2 linked regions of the Callithrix jacchus genome follow. The protein of the gene in region 2 purifies or fractionates together with the protein of the main gene of each other region. This does not show direct contact. Links are inferred from orthologs where the notes say so. Each region holds a gene or a part of one and is shown on either strand. Other genes may lie near its edges.

Region 1 (3,755 bases), on a different chromosome or scaffold from region 2:
AGCTACCTGATCACTAATGACACTGTTTAAAATTAACGAAGGCAAAATGCACATGAAATAGTCACATTGATTTGATAACAGTAATGGTCTTTAATTTTCCGAAATAAATGTTTTGCACTATTCTTACCATTCACTATGCTGTTAAGTCTGTAATGTCCAGTATATAACAGAATTTGAGTTCCAAAAAAATCCTCAATAACACAAACCCACACTTGAGTGTTCTACTTTAATATCCTAGACAATATAGAATTATACACAAGATAGGAAGAGAAAACATCCCTCAACCCTCCCTTAAGAGGAGACACACAAAGTGCATGTGTTGCATTTCGATCACGTCAAAAGAGTACAAGTCTGTTGGTCAGGTAAATCTCTGTTCACTGATTAATACATGACCCACCTTCTTTCCCCATTTTAAAATTCTAATGTTGCTAGTGCCAGGTAATGGATTCAATAGTGCCTATTCACAAATCAACTGCATCCACTTTTACAATATGTAAAAGGTACCTTTAATTTCCTTTCATTGATCCAGCGTACAACAGCGCACTGTAAAACTGAAAGACATGGCAATCCTTAAGAATTTTACCTACAGAATGCACACAATTTGACACATTTTCTTAGCTTCAAAAGATTCTTTAAAAAAGGAACTCAGTAGACTGACTCATAAATACCACTGCAGATTCTGAATCTGCAAACTCCGTCACATTGCTGTTGGGACAGATTGAGATAAGGCTAAAATTTTTTTCCAAGTTAATATATTGAGAAAATAGAACCATAATTCTTCAATAAATCATCATCTTTTATTATTTTTTTTAAAGCAAACCAATGAAGGAAAGGACAAAAACCTTTGGTTCACTTATTTATGAATGGAAAAAATTTATAATGCAAATTTCACTCATTAAAAAACTTAGGTACAAATTACAACATTACAGATAATTCTCTTTTTGCTTCTTTGTTTCACATGGAGACCTTGAAGACTCAATTCATTTTTAAGACACCTAAGTACGAGTCCTCCAGGTAAGTATTACACAAATTGGAAGCATCTTGGAATTTTTAAGTATATTTCAAGACATAAATTTTTATGCATGCTTTAAACAAACAGTATTTTTTTAAATGAGAGATTCTAACCAAAAAAGTATGACCAGCACCAGCATTTAAATCTTCTGATTTTAATATTAGTCTGACATAGCGTTAGTAACCATGCTGCACTGAAACATGTAATGGTACAATCTGAATCATGATTCGTTAAATATTATACCCCATTTCCCCAGAATATTTAGGCTGGTCATCAAGTTAAAAATGTGTAAGTACATAAGCATAATCAGTTATGGACAGCTTCTTGTATAAACTGCTATTTAGCAATATACAAACTGCCTCAAAGATTTATGCTTACAGGTAGACATTCAATTTACCAATAAAACAGCATGTCCTGAAAATATGGGCACATTTTAAAACATATTAAGACAGGTCTGTTAACCATAATAGTCCCACAGTATGACTGAGTAATAAGAATCTACTTTAAAAGCAAAAAAAAAAAAAAAAAAAAAAAATTAATCAGTATAGTGCATGATTGATTCAACATAGTTCCCAGGGAACAAACCAGTCACTCGATTGCAGACTCCTTCATACCAGCCATCATCATTCTTCTTTATAACATAAATGATTGCACCCTCCATAAATGACAGCTCATCATCCTTGTCTTTTGTATAATCATATATTGCAACAACTATGGGGGAAAAAAAAAGTTGAAATATCACATGAATGCACTATATCCAACATTTACTTGAATTTTAAGACAATGCCAATTAAATATACAGCACAGCAAACCAACTATTTTTATGAAGATTCTTAATTCTTATATTTATCAATATAAGTATGTCAGTGGCCAAACATGTATTTAAATCACTGGCTTAATCTTAGGACCAAATGACAATCTGATTAGACTGAAGAGGCCAATAGGTTCTGTCAATCTCTTTAAGAAAGCTCTCTGAATTTTAAAATTTATTAGATGTTTTAATTCATTCAAATATCTACCAAGTGCCTATCATATGCAAAGAACAGCTTTTCAAGATAATTATAAGGCAAAGAAAGCTGCATAGCCATTCAGTAGCATGTAACAACCCAAGCTATCCAATTTGAAAATACACAGTTACTGGAAGGTAAATCACATCCTCCTTATTCAGGGACCCATGCTAATTTGTGGGACTACTCCCAGATTTCTTGAAAAGGAATATTTACTTACTCTTAAAGGATTTTAATTAATACTTAGAGAACTTTGCAATTCTGTGGTATCTGTGATTCTTTTCAGTTCAAGATACAGGTTGAGTAACCCTTATCTGGAATGCCTGGGATCAAAACTCCTTTGGATTTGGGAATTTTTTCAGATTTAGAATTTTACATACATATAATGAGATATCTTGGAGGTGGGAACCAAGTCTAAACACAAAACTCATTTTTGTTTCACATACACATAGCCTGAAGGTAATTTTATTCTTCCCCTGGGAACACTAAATCAACTGTGTCATTCGCCTGCATTTTGACCATGACCCATCACATGAGGTCAGGTGTGCAATTTTCCACTTGCGGCATCATGTTGGCATTCAATAGTTTCAGATTTTGGAGCATTTTAAATTTGGGGCTTTCAGATAGGGATGCACAGCCTATATTCATTTCCTTTGCAAACTTGTAGAGAGAGAAAGCAATCTAAAATGTACAAAATGGCCTATGGACAAATCCAAACCACTGCATTTTGTGAAAATAAAGTTTGATTGCAAGAGGGCCACATCTACTTACTCATTTATTGTCTATGTCTGCTTTTACACTACCACAGCAGGACTGAGTAGTTGTGACAGAGACTGTATAGCCAGCAAAATTTAAAATATTTACTATCTGGCTTTGTACCCAAAAAAGTGTGCTCACCCCTAGTTTAGGATTATTATTCCAACTTGGGAAGATACTTTTTAATCCTGCTCTTCTATCAAGTATATTAACCAATATATCATTCCTAATTTGTCAACTTATATAAATATGGTCCCATTTTCATAGTTAAATTTGCTTTACCAAATAAGCAAATTATAGGTAAAATCTCGATTCAAGACCACTCAAGTTTATCATCCTCGTAAGTAATAACACCTATTTGAAGGTACATGGGAATCTTAAGTAGAATATTTAAGACTTTCTTAACAATATGTAAATTATCGGCCTGGTGCCGTGGCTCACAAGGTCAAGAGATCAAGACCACCTAGCCAACATAGTGAAACCCTGTCTCCACTAAAGTACAAAAATTAGCTGGGCATGGGGGTGCATGCCTATAGTCCCAGCTACTCGGGAGGCTGAGGCAGGAGAATTGCTTGAACCTGGGAGGCAGAGGTTGCAGTGAGCCGAGATGGTGCCACTGCACTCCAGCCTGCCGCCTGGTGATGGAGTGAGACTCTGTCTCAAAAAAAGAAAAAAAAAAAGAAAACAAATTTACTTTTGCCACATATCCAAAACTTGGGCAGGAAAGAATGCTGCTGGTCGAAAGAGTTACAGCTACTTAAAGTCCATTAACCCAATTAAAGCCAATAGAAGGAAATATATTTCAAAGGCAACCAAAAGTCATCAATTAAATCACAAGAATTTTTCACAACTCTATAGAAATACAGATTTTATTTTTAATTGATTCCCACTTCTACTGAAAGACAGATTTTTAAATAGCACAGAACTGAATGAAAAAAAACTCTAGAAACAGAGTTTCTTCCCCACCTATATTTCTTAAT
Region 2 (3,755 bases):
TTAGGGAAAGGATATTTTTGTGAGACAGACTTTTGCTTTTTTACCCAGGCTGAAGTGAAATGACATGATCTGAGCTCACTGCAACCTCTGTCCCCTGGGTTTAAGCAATTCTCCTGCCTCAGCCTCTCAAGTAGCCGGATTGCAGATGTGCCACCACGACTGCCTAATTTTTGTATTTTTAGTAAGAGATAGGGTTTTACCATGTTGACCAGGCTGGCCCTGAACTCTTGAAATCAGGTGATCCACCAATCTAAGCCTCCCAAAGTGCTAGAATTACAGTTGTGAGCCATTGCGCCAGGCGGTAAAGGACATTTTTATGGGGCCATTATTCACTACTTGCCACACCCGATAGGAAGTTCAAGAGATCCACTCTAAGCAACTGTGCTAAGATACTTCTCACTTACCCACTTCCATTTGTATTCTGTGTATTATATTATTACTCCTCACTGTATCCACTTCCATTTGTATTCTGTTTATTACATTATTACTTCTCACTGTATCCACTTCCATTTGTATTCTGTTTATTACATTATTACTTCTCACTGTATCCACTTCCATTTGTATTCTGTTTATTACATTATTACTCCTCACTGTATCCACTTCCATTTGTATTCTGTTTATTACATTATTACTCCTCACTGTATCCACTTCCATTTGTATTCTGTGTATTACATTATGACTCCTCACTGTATCCACTTCCATTTGTATTCTGTGTATTACATTATGACTCCTCACTGTATCCACTTCCATTTGTATTCTGTGTATTATATTATTACTCCTCACTGTATCCACTTCCATTTGTATTCTGTTTATTACATTATTACTTCTCACTGTATCCACTTCCATTTGTATTCTGTTTATTACATTATTACTTCTCACTGTATCCACTTCCATTTGTATTCTGTTTTTTACATTATTACTCCTCACTGTATCCACTTCCATTTGTATTCTGTTTATTACATTATTACTTCTCACTGTATCCACTTCCATTTGTATTCTGTGTATTATATTATTACTCCTCACTGTATCCACTTCCATTTGTATTCTGTGTATTATATTATTACTCCTCACTGTATCCACTTCCATTTGTATTCTGTGTATTATATTATTACTCCTCACTGTATCCACTTCCATTTGTATTCTGTGTATTACATTATTACTCCTCACTGTATCCACTTCCATTTGTATTCTGTGTATTACATTATTACTCCTCACTGTATCCACTTCCATTTGTATTCTGTGTATTACATTATTACTCCTCACTGTATCCACTTCCATTTGTATTCTGTGTATTACATTATTACTCCTCACTGTATCCACTTCCATTTGTATTCTGTTTATTACATTATTACTTCTCACTGTATCCACTTCCATTTGTATTCTGTGTATTATATTATTACTCCTCACTGTATCCACTTCCATTTGTATTCTGTGTATTATATTATTACTCCTCACTGTATCCACTTCCATTTGTATTCTGTGTATTATATTATTACTTCTCACTGTATCCACTTCCATTTGTATTCTGTGTATTACATTATTACTCCTCACTGTATCCACTTCCATTTATATTCTGTTTATTACATTATTACTTCTCACTGTATCCACTTCCATTTGTATTCTGTGTATTATATTATTTCTCTTTTCAGTGTAGGAGTTATGTGTGTCTGTGTTTGGAGTGACATTAGTCCTAAATGCCAGTCTCTTTTTCCCAGATATGTCATGTCGTTCAAGACTTGCAACACTAAACGAGAAGTTGACAGCCCTTGAACGGAGAATAGAGTACATTGAAGCACGGGTGAGTATGATGGGCAAGGCCATTCCAAGAGAGAATGCATATTTCCACTTACTGCTGACAAAAACCTGAAAGCAGAAACAGTCTTAGGAAACTTAAGCACCGGCCAGACATGGTGGCTCATGCCTGTAATTGCAACACTTCCACTTTGGTAGGCTGAGGTGGGTGAATCACCTGAGGTCAGGAGTTTGAGACCAGCCTGGCCAACATAGTGAAACCCGTCTCTGCTATAAATACAAAAATTAGCCAGCATAGTGGTATGCACCTATAATCCTAGCTACTTGGGAGGCTGAGGCGGGAGAATCACTTGAAGCCGGGAGGTGGAGGTTGCAGTGAGCCAAGATCACACCAGGGCACTCCAGCCTGGGTGGCATAGTGAGACTCGGTCTCAAAAAAAGAAAAAGTTAAACACATTGCCTGGATTTGAACAGGTTTCTGTGACTCACAGCTGTGTTCTTTTCTATTTCTCACTGCTTAGGATCTAAAGTATGATTTTTTTTTTTAAAGATCCCTCTAATATATTTTAATTTATCTAAATGTCAGTTTTCCTTTCCTTTCACAGGTGACAAAAGGTGAGACACTCACCTAGAACAGTGCCGTCCTGCTGCTGGGGAGTTGCTTTACAGAACACAGGCCACATGGGAAAGGCCCCAGCAGCCTTCAGCTCCTTCCTTTCTCCTTAAAGAACAACAGGGCTTATTCTTGTTTTTCTTTTTTCAAAAGTGTGACCTTTGGTCTCTGCCATCTGGGATGTGGTGTGGTATGTGGGGAGAAGTCCAGAGGAACTGTTGGAAACAACATTAGGCATTTTACCTTTTCAGTAACATTTTATAGATCTACTTGTCAATGTATTTGAAATATTCACAGCCAAAAGCCTGGGACTCTTTGTGAAGGTCCTCCCTACCTCTGTCCTTTCTCTCTCTCTCTCTCTCTCTCTCTCTCTCAAACTTTCCTTAAAATTCTCATTGCCTTTGCACTGCTTCTGTGAACAGTCTTTGTCTCCTCCCCACCTTTGGTGGGAAGTGGGGGGCAGTCCTGGCCAAAACACACATGCCCTGGCAATGTGGCTGCCAGAGAATGTTGTTGCTAACCCACCAGTTTCTTGTTGATTTGGGGAGGTCAAGACCAGGCCCCCACTTGGCTTGAAGGGACATTTTCAAACTTTTCTTTCTGTCACTTGGGGTGTCCGTGCCTCTTATATTTCCCTAATAAACTCCTCAATTTTATCTGACTGCTGTGATTATGGTGGGGAGAGGAGCTAGAGATGGGCTTGCTTATTCCACAGAAATGTATATATGGCATTATTATTCTAACATAAAACTTTCAGATATAGCTGTTTGATTCAAAGCCTGGGTGGCTTACCAGCCCAAGTCCCCATGTTTGGACTTTAAGCTGACTAGTGCATCCTGGGAATCAATTCATCATTCAGCACATTTACCAAGTACTTACTATGTAGGCATGTTAAACTCCAATAAAAGATACAGCATTGAATCAGACATGATGCTTACAGTCTGTTGAAATACCAGCATTTACACAATTTAGCCACAATCCAAGGCAGATTATTAGTTTTATAAGGTACACGCTAAATGTCTACTTCTTTGAAAAACAAATGGTTTAAACCAAAGCTTACTTGTACCAACCTACTTGTTAAGGCTTATCCACTATATAGAATCTCTGTTTTAGTCATACAGAAGTCATTATGCTCTGTATACATTAATTTCTCTCAATTCAAATCATGTTTGCCATTCAAAGTCTAGCTCAAGGCAAACTTCCCCCTGAAAGTTCTCCTGGACTTGATTTTTCCATTTAGTATTGCCCTGTTCCTCTTCTTAGTTCCTCCCCATCCTAGCATGCTGATAGTGTGCTTCAGCTCTGGATTTGATCTTGGTATGAATTATTCTCTGATTAGCATAGGCATCTTAGAACAGATATGGACATCTTTGACAAGTGCAGTGGCTCA

What was found.
Region 1: the proteins of BRK1 (region 2) and ABI1 purify together in Homo sapiens (co-immunoprecipitation; 3 studies listed by BioGRID and IntAct, with this or other methods). This does not show direct contact. The link is inferred for Callithrix jacchus from reciprocal best matches to the Homo sapiens genes BRK1 and ABI1.

The regions. Positions count from the first base shown.
Region 1 is NC_133508.1:27,127,080-27,130,834, forward strand, and holds part of ABI1 (abl interactor 1), read right to left. Parts: intron 1,724-3,755; coding exon 1,548-1,723; 3' UTR 1-1,547. UniProt on the Homo sapiens protein: May act in negative regulation of cell growth and transformation by interacting with nonreceptor tyrosine kinases ABL1 and/or ABL2. May play a role in regulation of EGF-induced Erk pathway activation. Involved in cytoskeletal reorganization and EGFR signaling.
Region 2 is NC_133516.1:67,298,137-67,301,891, forward strand, and holds the end of BRK1 (protein BRICK1), read left to right. Parts: intron 1-1,715; coding exon 1,716-1,798; intron 1,799-2,357; coding exon 2,358-2,384; 3' UTR 2,385-3,289; downstream 3,290-3,755. UniProt on the Homo sapiens protein: Involved in regulation of actin and microtubule organization. Part of a WAVE complex that activates the Arp2/3 complex. As component of the WAVE1 complex, required for BDNF-NTRK2 endocytic trafficking and signaling from early endosomes.